Linked DNA regions of Styela clava. The protein of the gene in region 1 interacts with the protein of each later gene in a pairwise test. Links are inferred from orthologs where the notes say so. Each region holds a gene or a part of one and is shown in the gene's direction. Other genes may lie near its edges.

The links. The genes of interacting proteins can lie anywhere in the genome.
Region 2: the proteins of EF-hand domain-containing family member C2-like (region 1) and enhancer of mRNA-decapping protein 3-like interact in binary tests that used the Homo sapiens proteins (3 or more experiments, as listed by UniProt). The link is inferred for Styela clava from reciprocal best matches to the Homo sapiens genes EFHC2 and EDC3.

Annotation. Positions count from the first base shown.
Region 1 is NC_135256.1:24,087,250-24,095,143, reverse strand, and holds the start of EF-hand domain-containing family member C2-like, read left to right. Parts: upstream 1-4,842; 5' UTR 4,843-5,005; coding exon 5,006-5,101; intron 5,102-5,644; coding exon 5,645-5,833; intron 5,834-6,203; coding exon 6,204-6,329; intron 6,330-6,452; coding exon 6,453-6,583; intron 6,584-6,735; coding exon 6,736-6,853; intron 6,854-7,178; coding exon 7,179-7,264; intron 7,265-7,334; coding exon 7,335-7,389; intron 7,390-7,814; coding exon 7,815-7,894. UniProt on the Homo sapiens protein: Microtubule inner protein (MIP) part of the dynein-decorated doublet microtubules (DMTs) in cilia axoneme, which is required for motile cilia beating.
Region 2 is NC_135253.1:11,259,680-11,267,569, forward strand, and holds enhancer of mRNA-decapping protein 3-like, read left to right. Parts: upstream 1-4,849; 5' UTR 4,850-5,289; coding exon 5,290-6,672; 3' UTR 6,673-7,490; downstream 7,491-7,890. Other genes in the region: palmitoyltransferase ZDHHC16-like, read left to right, coding at 7,568-7,890. UniProt on the Homo sapiens protein: Binds single-stranded RNA. Involved in the process of mRNA degradation and in the positive regulation of mRNA decapping. May play a role in spermiogenesis and oogenesis.

The DNA of each region.
Region 1 (7,894 bases):
ATCGATAACGGAAAACCTAATTGGACAAATGTGATTACGACAAAGCTATGCAATTCGAGAGCAAAATTTTAATGAGAAATTTGCTGCTTTTTTTTGATAGCATACGTGTTAGACGCGGCTCCAATGAACACGATATCTCTGTTTGGTCTTGGTGGCAGATACCGGTAAGAAGCTTTCTCACATAAGTACGACAAGTTCACGCATCAAGTACACAAAATCGGCAGTGATATAATGGCTTTGTCGCGGAGATCGGGATATTTATTTTTACAATGTCATCCAATCGTTTATTTAGAGCTTGAAATGGGCGTAGGACCTCAGACCAAGTTTGGTTTACGCATCAATAGGAGGTAAAACTCTTACGGCGGACGTCAAAAGACACTGGCGGACAACCCGCGACGCTACTCAAGCGTTTCTGTGGACTGATTAACGCCCTATGGCGGATTTAAAGTGGGAGTCCCCAAATCAGGCCCATGGCACTAATACTTTCGCTCCGAAAATATTCGTACCAAGATGACGCACAACCTAACCTGGTACAGGTAAGATACTGTGTTCAGGTTGTGCGCCATCTTGATACGAATACTTCGGGAGCACCCTAATACTGAGCTGTGAAGGCTACGATATAGGAGCGTCGGCATACCCCAATGGTGGCCTATCAAGTGGCTATCGTGAAGCTGACACAATACGGCTTGGCCCATACCACCAAATCCTAAATATATGGTTCCATTACATTTGACTTGAAGACACAAATTGACTTAAGAGTTAAGGTTACCACTGTCAGACTTGAGGGCTGCAGAATGTATCTTTTTGCTCGAGCTTTCTTTGAAATGAGATGGAATAGAAGCCACATATATATATATTGACTTTAATGGATGGCCCACTATAACATATTAGGCTGGGAGATAAAAGTCAAATCCACCAGGACTAAAACATGTATCAAAGAAGTGCTGTGTATCTCCCATGATATGTCAATATCAAATCCGTTTGGAATATAAGATCCCAATGATAATCACCAAATGATGTAATATCATTTTGGAAAACGTTTGAAATTTGAGTACAATAAAAAACAGAAGTAAACATTGGTAAGAATATGCCAATAAAAAGTCTTTCAAGAAACTCGTATATACTTACACTGCTCCTACGCTCTGTTCACCACACACTTTTGATTACCGCATATATACCGTATTCACTTTATTAGTACTTTATGAACATGCAGTTCACAGTCCGTGTCACACAATACAGCATATCAGGGGATCCAAACCGCGGGTCAATTGCGGCCCGCGTAACGATTTAAAAAGGCCCGCCGAACTTTATTGCAATAGTTTAATGGTGAAACGTAAATGAATACCAATACAGTACGTTTAACACTTCAAGTGTTTACCTTCTTGCGCTCTGGATACGGCAAATTGTTACATTATTTTCACACTTTGAGCACGTGTATGTTCGTAATAATTCAATTATAACGGTATTTTTTGTATACGTACCTGCAATAGAATTACATACGGCGGTATTTTATTTATCAACCCTAAATTAAGGAAGCTTAAAGATGTTAAAAAAACAAAAACTAGACACTGAAAAAAGGACGTTTTTGGATAAATGGCAGTGTTCTTATTTCTTTTTTGAAAAGAATCAAATTTCAGTGATTTGTCTTCCTTGCCAACAAGATATTCCAGTTCTGATGCAATATAACATTGGACGCGATTATGAGACGAAGCATTATCAAATTATGATCAGTTGAAGCGTGAGCGGCGTTTTTCAAAATTTAATTCGTCGTTAAATTCAGACAAAAGTCAAACGAAGATCATAAAACGTCAAATGAAAGTGAATCCACGTTATTGACCAGTTATATTGTAACGTCGCTAAAAATAATCGCCCGTTTGCTGAAGAGGAATTTTTCCGCGAATGTATTCTGCAAGTTTTGGAAGACATTTCTCCTAATATAAAAAGTAAATTTTCCAGCTATAGTCTAACAACACAATCATGAACCATTACAAATCAAAATTTCAGTCCAGACTGGCAGATATCCCACAATACAACGTACCGAATTGGGGCCACGTTTTAACATCTGATTTCGATCAAATTTTGTTGGTTTTTCGTTATTTTTATTCGGGGGAGTTGGGGCATTTCGTGCAAAAATCCAGGGTCGGCACATTTCGTCGCTACGCCACTGATTAGAGATTCTGTTTCAGATACCCTCTCGCATTTCCTTCAGAATGAATTTATAATGTACCAATTTGTAGTAAATATTAGTACATTCCACATAATACAAATAATTTGAGCTTCATTTCATTTGAAATGGTTGATATTGTTACAAACCCATTATCACACAAATTTTTATACTTCCATAAAGTTAACAGCTGGTGAGTATTTGTGATGGGTTGGTTTTCTTTAACAGAGTGAATATATTGTAGACTACAGTGGCGGCGCGTGGTCATTTTGACAACCGGGTCAAGCTACTGCGGGACCAAGTCACCCCCATCTACGGGGACAGGATGAGCGCTGTAAGTTCTCCCATCATTTTATGAGTATAAAAACCATTCCATCGGTAACAACCAATCGGCAAAAGCGACAATTTTTAACGATAAGAAAGTGTATTTAAAACCGGTCCAAGTCAAGGGATTAATAAATATAGACATAGTTTATTTTGAAACCTCTTTCAAAAGGAAAGGCAATATTTACCCAGATAAAAACAATGACATATCAACAGAAACTTCGGAAAATATTAACATTTCCGAATGTTCGGTATTTTACTGCATTGTCCAGATGCTCCATAGAAGATTGATGATCCCTGGCACGCTCGGATCACGGGCGGTACAAAAAAAGCAGGCAATAAAAACAGAAAAGTGCATTTTTGTCCTCGCTGTAACACAACCATTCGTGTTTTTAATACCAAGTTTCTGCGCAGAATGTAGGCCGACGCTTTCCTCCGTCATGGGATTGTTCCAGTGAACAATTTTTTGGTTGATAAGGCCCAAGACGTTGTACTTCTAATTTTTGTTCCAGCGGCAGCTGCGAAAACGGAGTGCGAAGTAGTGCATCAACCTTATTCATAATGAGGTCTAAGGCTAAGAAATGCGAAGCCGGAAAGAAGTGAGGAAGGAGCTCAAAAGAAATGTGGAAAATCGAAAGCAAATGGACTAAAGGTCGCTAACTGATTCAAATAGCGAAACAAGCGACAAAAACGAAGGCGAGGAAACTATCAACTCTTCAAGCAACCAACGAACGAGAAGGAATGCGTGAACATGTCAACACGTTGTTGTAAGAAACGTCGGCATTGTGTCGTCATAATTTCGGGGCTAGCCCCGATCGGCCCCGATGATTTAGTAAAAGAAACAGAAAACAAACGAGACAAACGCGGCGAATGGAAGATAAAAGAGAGAATACGATATACAATGAGCAACCGGGGCAAAATCGGCGTCGCCCCGTCGACGTTCGGCGAAGGATTTGCGAGCGAAAAATGAACCATGTCGGGAGAATATGGCTAGTGTAGACAGTCTGTGCAACCGATATTGAGGTATTTTTCGAATATTTTTTATTATACCGAAAAAACAACCGGGGCATTGCCCCGGTTGGCCCTATTGACGCGCCGCCACTGGTAGACTACACAAATGGTGGCCTAATCACTCGACAATTTTTAATAATTCTGTACAAAACATACTATCGTAATATATTGTCACATCGATTGACACGTTTAGCGCCTATTACCTTTCTAAAATAATCATGGGAAGTAGGTGGGTCAGCCGAAATAAAACATTTCGTAAAAGAAGAGTGTCAAGTCACATGAGTTTAAGTTTAAAATTTATAGAGGCATATAATATTTTGGCGAAAGCAAAAAATTTTAAAAAGCTTCTGCCATCAAACTGGATTTTAACCACAAACTATTTTTCAAATGAACAGCCATGGCCATGCCTTCACGTTCATTGTACCAAGTCATGACATTTTAATATTTACCACGCATCGCAACAATCTATTTTCCATAATACAAAATTTGTTTTTAATTAAAGATGCGTTGATCAATGCACACACTTGAAATGATAACAAAAAAGAAGTTTTAGTGAAGTTTAGATAATTAAAAATCTGGCGAGCGAGTTCACCAGCACAACCATTGCAACACTTGTCCATTTTGCAAACCAGCACCAATTGTTACTGCTTCAAAATCAATTTGAATACTAAGAGGAAAAAATAAAATCAACTAAAAATATATGTACCTCAATCTGTATTCAATAATATGGGATATGCAGACAAAATATATTTAGTAACATATATATGTGTTGTTTATAGAAAAATGAATTTTGTCTGAAGGAAACATAATTGATAAGAGAGTTGTAAATATGTTCGCGTATTAGCAAAATTATGGTTGAGATCCCAGATAAGTCATAGTAGACACTTGGAAAAAGAAGCATAAATAATTACCATCTGTCGATTTCTTTCATATGGGAGTGCTAAAAATTTGAAATTGATTGGCACATTAGTTTCGAGAAAAGGGAAAGATTTTCTAACAACAGCAATCATCCCAACATCAGCACTTCTTGTTCTATGTGTTGTGGTTGAACACATGTGGCGCGCAAGCACAGAGATGATCAAATTTCATTGCCATGGTTACCAATCCAATCACCGAGTTGTTGCTGACGCTCTGGATCGAAACTTACCTCGGTCGTCTTTTTGATCGAATCTAAATTAGTATTATTACTATTTAATTAGCGAAAATTATAAAAGAACAGATTTAATTTGGGATCATGTCTCTTCCGTGTCTACCTGGAAACAATTTTAATCTCAGGGTGAGTTTGCTTCAGTACTTTGTTGTTAATCCAGTAGCCTAATCTCATACGCTAGAACTGCAGAAAGGCACTAAATCTGGAAAATGTTTTATGGTAATTTCCCCCTTGAATATTGAATCTCGAAATTTGCTAATAAATGTTCATATGACTGCAATTTCTGGAATAAAAAGTAAAGGTCAAAACGGTAAAAACCGATTGCCGTATCGCTTTCAATACCATTTGTATGTGGGATGTTTGGATCAAGTACATTCTTCAATTTTGCATATGAGAACTTGAAATTTCGTTTTCTTGATGAATCGGTTTCCGTTTCACCCTTTCTAACAAAGGTTGGTATTGATTAGATTCAATTTAACTAAGTAAAATAGACAACATTATACGGTTATATATAAAGAATAAAATACAAATAACGATAAATACAAATACTGACTGAAAAAATATTACAATGCAGGGCTTCGGGAACTGAATATCTTTCAGCAATACCCTATACCTATATTTTATCAGAACATATTTTATGACACTTTCACTAATATACTTTATATCACTAATAAAGTAGTACACAATGCTGCTGATAGTGTCTATTTATTTCACCACATCATTTTTAAACATGGGGAACTTATTTAAGATAGTGTGGTTTATCTCATGATATTGAATTTAAAAAGATTTATAGGCTACCTGAGTTTTAATATTATAAAAATTATAAATATATTATAAAAATTTTGGTTAATTTTGAGCATTTGGATAATGTGATTCTCAGTAGTTTTGTCCCATACAGTGTCAACATTGATTTTTATTGTCAGACATTTTCAATTGGAATATCATTAATCTAATATTGCACCAACAATATTTTGATGACAAATGTTTTGAAACAGCTTGGGAAAGAGAGATTTCACAAATCACATCATTTCGATTATAACAATGAAGTAGCAATGTTGACTGGAGAAGAGAAACCAGGGATTGGTGGAGAACCGTTACTTGGTCAGAAGAAAAAACCTAAGAACAGTGTTTTTCCAAGAGGAGAGGGAAGCAATGCACCAACATGGGTGGCATTCGATAGGCAGGTGTGTGGGTTAGTTGGTAATCCTAATAAATGTCAAGACTAAACTGGATTTATGTGCATGATTTAGGTTGTTTTGGACTATGATATTTTATGTTCCTGTTTTGATTTAAAGTAAAGGTCTAGTTACTGAAATATATATTATAGAATCAAGATGAAAAATTCATCTTGCTGGACTCAAAGCTTCATCTTTAATGAATCGGGCACTGTGTTATTGATTATGTTTCGATAATATAGAAAATTCATGAAAGAATAAATAAATTATTTGCAAACCACTCTCACCTACTTAATTCACTAGTCCCACTTTATTATTACTTTATTTAATATTATCATTGGTCAAGCAATAATGAATATTGCTTTTCTTTTGATGTCAGGTCTTATGCTTTCAAGCCTATTTCCAAGAGGCTGTGCATGAAAAACGGGAAGAACAGTTTCGTATTCGAAATTGTAAAATCTATTTTTACTTGGAGGATGATTCTATACAAGTGATCGAACCAACGGTAATAATGAACCTATATTATTGTCTATTTTTTCGCAAAGTTGTGTTTTATTTAGATACTTGCATACTGTTCACTCTTTTAAGGAGCTACAATATTAACTCATTAGCTGAATTCTTTTTTCAGGTTAAAAATTCTGGAATTCCTCAAGGAACTTTAATCAGACGCCACAGAATTCCCTTACCAGCTCCAAATGATGATCAGTTTTATACTGTTGAACATTTCAATGTGGGAAATGAGATTGTTCTTTATGGAAGGTGAGTATTAAGCCTTTATTTTAAGTTCAACAAATAATGAATGGAAAAGTATTATCCAGTAAAATAACTTGCAGGATGATACTTTATTACCATTAAAAAATCGCAGTGTATCAAATAATGTATTGGTAATTAATTTATAATTTTTTTGACAGAAAATTCAAGTTGATGGATTGTGATGAATTCACCCGTAATTTCTTGCGTAAACTCGGGGTACGAGTGTCCAACTCGGAAAGAACTCCAGATGATCCATATACATCATTGAGACAGGACGTACGTATGTTTTGACTGATTGTATATGTTTCTTTTTTTAACGAACCATTTTTGTTCATTTTGTAATTTTATAATAGGGAAATCTATCATTTCTGACAGACAATCGATATTATATATTCCACTAAATGGCTGATAGCATTAAGACTCCCAGCTCTAGTGAAATGGGAAATAAAAAATCTTGTATATTCCACCAACCCCCTACCCCCCATTTTGAAAGTATAGTGTGTTATGGATTTTCAAAATTCTAGAGACAAATATTTTTAAAAAATTAATATGGAGTAGTAATGGAATATGATGGTGTAAAAAATACTATGTTATGTTGCAGATGGAGGAAAGCATGCAACCTCTTCGACCATATGAACGCACTGATACATTGAAACAATTCTTGAGCCATGATAGACATGTTCTGAGGTAAACTGAAATTCAATTGAATTTGTTGGTTTGCATCTACCAGTGATGGTTAATTTATTTTATTTTTTAGATTTTGGTGTTTTTGGGATGACGGTGATTGTATGTTCGGAGATACAAGGGAAATGGTGAGGCTTGACAATATTTTCCTATCAACTCTTGTATTGACAAAAGATAGAAACTTCTTTGCACATCAATAGTTGTTTTTGGGGTACTCCTGTAGTATGCGAACCAAGATGACGGGCACAGGGACGTAGTATGTGTACGTATGAGTGTGAACATGGAATATCCAAGTACTGGTGTATGAATATTATGATTTGAATTACTAATCAATGACTTTGAGCTTGGGAGATTTACATCGAAATCTTACGTGGGATGATTATTTAAAAAAATTCACAATAGTCTTTTGTCTGAACAAATGTCTGAAATATGTTTTCAAATGGTTCCGACTCTTAGCTTATGTGTATACTTATATGAGTACCAAAACAAAGGCATTTGTGTTTATGTGTCTGTGCTACACATAGCTAACCATTGCTTGTCTTTCTTGATCAAGGTTCTCCATTATTTTCTTGCTGATGACACGGTTGAAATTCGCGAAGTCATTCAACCCAACTCAGGACGGGATGCAGTACC
Region 2 (7,890 bases), on another chromosome or scaffold:
ACAAAAAAATATTTACATATATATATAGAATCTACAATGAGACAAGACATGGAAATAAAGAGGAGGTTATAGAAAGGTAAAAGTTGTGTAAAGTAGAATTCAAAGAGAATGGTGTATTTTTACTTTGGATTTTTTGTTTTGGACGGTTAAAACATATTCTCAATTAAATGTACTTTGCTACGCTAAAAATACTTACACTCGCATTGTTACCATTTTGTGAAATAGTTGGTCTATCCATGTCGGGAAGAAAAAAAAAATTTTAAAGTTTATACCACCTGGGCTTTTTGAAAAAATACCGCTTTTGACACAATTTTTGACGAGCTTATTATTTCACTGTCCTATATGGCGGCATTGTAAATAATTAAAAGTATGACTCGCTCGAATCTACTTTTAGAAAGCATTTTAATACTAACGAAATCTATTTAATGGGAAGAGGAATGCTAACCACAAATTTTTAATAATATAAATCTTTTGAGGGGAATTTGAAATTCGAATATTCAAAGTATGTTACTCTCAATTAATTCTTAAGAATTGAAAGCCGAATTGAAACACCATATATATTTAGAAGAAGAAGAAGGACTTTACCTTAGTAACAGTTCATTGTTTTCATCAGTTCGTTTTTTGATCAGGTTTTCCACCTCGAATATATATATATATCATGTTCTATGAGAGTTCATTTCGATTGTTCGACAACACAGTCCATATTCATAATTTTAACGTTTCCATATTTTATTCGATTTAATTCATTGTTTCGTCATGATGTTTTGATTGTTCCGGCTTGTCAGCAATTTGATCCTTGAACGCTTTTGATGTGTATATATATGGTTTCTCATCAATCGTTGAGAGCTGCGGAAAGAAAACAGAGATATTAGATCAGCATGGGCCCCAATTTACGACTAATATGGTAGATGATGGAAAGGAAACTTATCTTTCGCTTGGTCAGCTTTTTGGTTGATTTCGTCAAATTGTTGCCTGTCCTGGTGTTGTCCGTACTTGTGGTTGAAACCGGTGATCCGGTCTGTTTCAGAAGGTTAATTCCAGTCGGTTTTGTCACCATTTATAGTGATTTGTTACCACTACACATAAATTGTTTGTTGACTGATCATCTTTGCGGATCATGACCCCAGTATTGACTGACAATAATTTTGTCTTGCGTTCGTTAACTCGAACTGTACATCTTTCGATAGCCTTCGGCCGTGGTAAATTGACGTTTGAAACACCCTATGAGTTTTATTCGTATATAGCAGTAATCTATGGATGATAGAAATAAATTCTGAGATACATATTGTTAAACTACTTCCGTAACAGACAATAAAATAGATGAATATGTAATCCCATATTTGATGTTAGTACGATGTTAGTTGGCATATATAGGTGGGTCAACAGCTACTAGACTACAGTCACTCTTAAGTAAGTTAGGCATTTTTGATACCAATTTTTCACAAAGTATGCAAACACCACATCATTTGATGGGATGCATGTCGCGCATATTTGTCTTAGGCCAGTAAGGTATTGAACATGTATCCCGTCTTAATTATTTTGTAGATACTGTTACAAATAAACACACATACATTTTACCTTGAATTCATGCTAAGAACAGGCCGAACTACTGTTAACGAGCAAAAAATTCCCCTCGTTTGTTTGCAAGCACTTCGGCGCGTTAAAGAACTTTAGTAAATACCAACGACTGGTGAATACCGATTCTCGGTAAAATGATAGAAGAAGGCACTTTACGAGACGTCTGTTTTGGCGCGCAAAAAAATCTCTCGAATATTAACGATACTTCGAGAATACCACTTTTGCCTTTTACGAGAAAGTGGGTGCTCTACTAACACGTTACGGTTAAACGATAAAGAAGTTGGGCGAATGGGGCCCCAGGTCGAGTATGGGATTAGTTAGCCAGTTTTTTTGTTTTCGGAAGCATGGACTTGATGGTGGAGGAAGCCGTAACGGACCATCGGTTACGTGAACCACCCTACGGCGGTGAGGAGTCCAGCAATCTTCTCGCACATTGTCATCCTGCATGGGATTCGAACCTGCGAACCCACGAATGGTAGTCAGGTGGGAGTTAGGAATACCATATGCAAATATGTTTGTGCCACATCAACTAAAAGGAGGACGGACTAAAAGTAGGCACTTGCAAATTAGGCACTTTTTTAGGCACTTATTAGACACTTTGGAAAAAAAATAAAAAGGGCGTAATACCTTTTAAAAACATAATTAATTAGTTAAAAATGGTCAAATGAAATGTTGAAAACGCAAATTGCAACGGGCAAACTCAATAACAATATTTAAAACGTAGTATTAAAGGCAGTCGCACGCGCTTGGTCACTACATATGCTAGGCACATATTTAGGCACTTCGAAAAATAAAGAAAATGGCAATTATCTCTAATAAAAGACAGAGACATAAACATATTACCCACACTGATTAGCCTGGGTAAATATCCAATAGATGCACTTGAGTCTAGTACTGGAATTTAGAAATAATAAATTGTTACCGGTAGGCACTTATTTAGGCACTTCGGAAAAAAGGTGAAATGGACGTAGTAGCTCCTAAAAAGGTAATGAATTAGTTCAAAATATTTAAATTAAATGTTGAACGCGAAAACTGCAACAGTTAAATCCAATAACGATTTTTAAAACGTAGTATTAAAGGGAGACGCACGCGCTCTGTCTCCACGTATGCTAGGCACATATTTGGGCACTTCGAAAAATAAAGAAAATGGCAATTATCATTAATAAAAGACAGAGAAATAAAAATATTACCCACACTGATTAGCCTGGGTAAATATCCAATAGATGCACTTGAGTCTTGTACCGGAATTTAGAAATAATAAATTGTTGCCGGTAGGCACTTTTTTAGGCACTTATTTAGGCACATCGAAAAAAAGGTGAAATGAGCGTAATAACTTTTAAAATGATAATTAATTAGTTGAAAATTGTCAAATTAAATATTGAACACGCAAATTGCAATGGGTGAACCGAATAACAATATTTAAAACGTAGTATTAAAAGGAGTCACACGCGCTCGGTCACCACATATGCTAGGCACATATTTAGGCACTTCGAAAAAAGAAGAAAATCGGAATTATCACCAATAGAAGATAGAGAATTCATTATTCTAGGAGTTACTACGGCCATTTCACCTTTTTTTCGAAGTGCCTAAATAAGTGCCTAAAAAGTGCCTACCGGTAACAATTTATTATTTCTAAATTCCAGTACTAGACTCAAGTGCATCTATTGGATATTTGCCCAGGCTAATCAGTGTGGGTAAAATTTTTATTACTCTGTCTTTTATTGGTGATAATTCTGATTTTCTTCTTTTTTCAAAGTGCCTAAATATGTGCCTAGCATATGTGATGACCGAGCGCGTGTGACTCCTTTTAATACTACGTTTTAAATATTGTTATTCGATTCGCCTATTGCAATTTGCGTGCTATACATTTAATTTGACAATTTATAACTAATTAATTATTATTTTAAAAGTTATTACGCCCATTTCACCTTTTTTTTCAATGTGCCTAAATAAGTGCCTAAAAAGTGCCTACCGGTAACAATTTATTATTTCTAAATTCCAGTACTAGACTCAAGTGCATCTATTGGATATTTACCCAGGCTAATCAGTGTGGGTAATATTTTTATTTTCCTGTCTTTTATTAGTGATAATTGCCATTTTCTTTATTCTTCGAAGTGCCTAAATATGTGCCTAGCATATGTGGTGACAGAGCGCGTGCGTCTCCCTTTAGTAATACGTTTTAAAAATCATTACAGTATTGGGTTTAACTGTTGCAATTTTCGCGTTCAACAATTAATTTAAATATTTTGAACTAATTCATTATCTTTCTAGGAGTTACTACGTCCATTTCACCTTTTTTTTCGATGTGCCTAAATAAGTGCCTAAAAAAGTGCCTACCGGTAACAATTTATTATTTCTAAATTCCAGTACTAGACTCAAGTGCATCTCTTAGATATTTACTCAGGCTAATCAGTGTGGGTAATATGTTTATTCACTGTCTTTTATTAGTGAATATGCCATTTTATTTATTTTTCGAACTGCATAAATATGTGCCTAGCATATGTGGTGACCAAGCGCGTGCGACTGCCTTTAATACTGCGTTTTAAATATTGCTATTGAGTTTGCCCGTTGCAATTTGCGTTTTCAACATTTAATTTGACCATTTTTAACTAATTAATTATGTTTTTAAAAGGTATTACGCCCTTTTTACTTTTTTTCCAAGGTGCCTAAATAAGTGCCTAATTTGCAAGTGCCTACTTTTAGTCCGTCCCAACTAAAAGTACGGTACTTACCGCTTTTAGTGAACCTGCGACGACTAAACTGGGGGCGGGTCTCATGTAGTTTCGTACCTAACGTACTTCTAGTAGGCGTAGCATAACAATTTCTTCACATCTCAATCCTAACCCCCACCTGACCCCACCATCCCAAAATTACGTCACTACGACGTCACAGTGACGTAATAGAGCCCTTCAAACTATGCGAACTGTCATCCAAGACGCGCAGACGAGAACCCGAAATCGAACAGCCATTTCTCTCGTTTTCTCCTCGCAACGATCCCGATAGGAGAGAGATCGCTGACGTTAGTCATTTCTTTATCGTCGGCGCCGATGCTATTTCGGGCGATCGTATGAGTATTTGGCAAGCTCTATGACGTGATTGTGACGTCGTAGTGACGTAATTATCGGATGGCGTAGTCAGGTGAGGGTTAGGATTGGCATGTCAAAAAATTGTTATGCTACACCTACTAGAAGTACGTTAGGTACGAAACTACACGAGACCCCTGGGGTCTGGTGTACGGTACGGTAACATTAGCGAAGTCAGACTGTACGGTGTAGGTCTCTGTGCGTTTATACTTTTGGACGGACAACTCACCAGCGACACCAGGCTTCTGCCTCTCACTCTCAGCCTTTCTGTAATCGAGTTGTCGTCTCTGGTGTTGCTTGTTTACTCAGTTGTCCGTCAGCCTCATACCGTAGATCAGTAGATTGAAAAATTGTTTCATTTTTTGAAAATATTGATGTACTGTATTTTATGATAACAACACAGACATAGTTATTCAATATCTGTATATGCATTTTTACGTTTTGGATTTTTTTCTTTTTCCTATAGCCTAATGCTTTACCGGTATATGATTATAATATTTGAATATACTTTAATTGATTGATTGAACTTGGGAATGTTATTTTTTCATTTACATGATCATTTGATGGATACATTGATTTTGTAGGCCCTATAGCCTAGTTCTCTTCCAGTGTTCAGAAACCGAAAGTCATGACATCTTACGTTGGTTCCAATGTTACAATAAACTGTGGGGATGTAATAGGTCATTGTCAGGGAATCGTGAAAGAAGTAGACCAAAAATCACAAACAATTACAATTTCCAATCCATATCGAAATGGTTTTAAATGCCCACATAATGAGATGACAATTCCGTCGTCTGATATCGTAGAAATCACCATCATTGATGGCCTTCTTTCAACATTGGAAACTAAGGATAAGAAATCCCCAAAAATTGGGTTATCAAGTGTAAAAAAAGAAAAAAGGCCTAAAAACAATGAAAGCCGACAAGTTGGTATTACAGATAGAATACCAATGCATTCTAGTTCACCACAACCTGGCTCGGAGTATAAAGGTGGGAAAAAGTATTCAAAAGTACGGAAGGGTTTATATAATCGGGATGACGATACGTTTGATAACAACCCGCAAGATATGACTGAAGATTTCGATTTTGTCAAGAATCTTGCTCTTTTTGATAAACTTGCTGTATACAATGAGATAAACTCTGGAAGTGATGGAGAAAGTATGAGAACTCCATCAAAACAGAGACATAGAAAGGTTGAAGAGAAATACAAGCATGACGAGTTCGTTCTACAAAAAGGGCCTGTAATATACCGACAAATAATAACAAATGAGGTGACCAAATACGAAGTTTCAGAATATTACACAGATGCAGGACTTGTAGTTCCCACTATTTCAAATGATACCTACATACAAATATTGCATGCTGCTGAACTTATGGGTTTCGGAATGGATAGACAAACTGAAATATTTGGAGCTAATGCAAGTCTCATGGCTCTATCTGTATTGGGTGGCTGTAATAGGCTTCATCCAAGAAATTCACATCAGCCCCCATCTGCAGTTGTAATGTGTGGGCCTCATAGAACAGGTGCTCAAGGTGTTGCAACAGCGAGGCATCTTTCAAATCATAATGTAAAAGTGAATGTGTTCATGCCCAATTTTGTTAAAATACATGCTTGCCTACAAGAAGAATTAAGACTATTGTCTCTAACAGATGCTGTTGTTATTAGCGAATATTCTGAATTACCTACAAATCCTGTTGATTTAATCATTTCTGCGATGGATGAAGAAGATTGTGAATTTTTATATCAGCAATCTTGGTATCAACATTCCGTTCGTTGGTGTAATGAAAATCGAGCTCCTTTAATGTGTCTCTCTCCACCAGCTGCATTACCTCCAGATTTGCATATAAAATGGTCTGTGTGTGCAGTACTGCCTTTTTCACTTTCAGCAAAATATGGTGCTTTATACATGATTGATGTAGGAATACCAGTGAGAGCATTTGAAAAACTAGGAATTCAGTATCAGTCGCCTTTCTGTGGTAAATCTTTCCTTCATTTACACAAAAGTAAATGAGAAATGTACAGTACTTGCTTTTTTAATCTTTTAAATGCATTTTGTACCGGTATAAATGTGAGTGTGACCTTGGTCATTCGTATATTAAAGGTTTACCATCTCTTGGAAAATGTGCTGGTTAAATAAACATATTTGTTTTTTTTTTGCTCCTTCATTCCATTTCTCAATTTTTATCTTCCTTTTATTAATCTCAATATTGGAGAAAAGGGTTGACAGATGATAATATGGCACCTTGTAAAGGTTTTTATGAATGTTTGATAACCAAGCAAGACTCCACCCAACTATATGTGTGTGGATGGAGAGTCCAAAAGATCACCACTAGTCCACACTGCAGCTAAATATAAATACGATGCCATCAGCATATTAAAAATATCCATCTCAAGAAATGACATTGCAATGTTTGGTACTTGACTACAGTGTATAAATAAACAGTTTGCTGAAGGGAATTTACTTATTTCTCCTTGAAATATACTTACAGAATACAGAAAAAATCTCATCTAGTAATTTTGTTATAAACTTGGTCATTGTTAACGCCTATATTGGGGATCATTTTTTTGCTTTAACAAACCATTTTTGCCATTTAATTTATTCATTCCACCCTTTTCTGTAGATTGATTGTATTTATAAAATGCTGTAGTAAATGAATGAAGAATTTCTACTACCGGTACTTGTTTTTTTGAACTGGTCAGTTTTAGCCAGTATTGGGTACTTACAATGTATCACCTAGTTCAATACTGATTTCTTTGACAAAATTCCATTTTCTACAGTTGTTTTTGTATGACAATGTTCATCTAATGCTATTTTCATTTTTCTGTAGATTTATTATGGGTTTTTTAAAGCTAATTTATAATGCTGAACTAGTTAGTACCTTGTAAATAGTCGATGTTCCATCACAATGAGGATTCACTTTAGACGTCCAGATTTTTCCGGAATAAAATTGAGATGGAGATATCTGAAACTATGTTACCTATCATTGACTTATAACACCTATTCATCTGCAACAGAAGTCCTTTTTGAGCCCATCATAACTCTAGTGGATTTTGTTTCAAGATGGTTTGGTTTCGCCTTTGTTACATTGGTGACAATACTGGTTGCATATGTTGTTGTGGTTTATTACTCAATTGCAGTACCATATCTCATCTTAGCATTTTCATCAATACGAGCTGGAATAACTATTTTCTACGGACATTATCTTCTAATCATGATTAGTTTTCATTA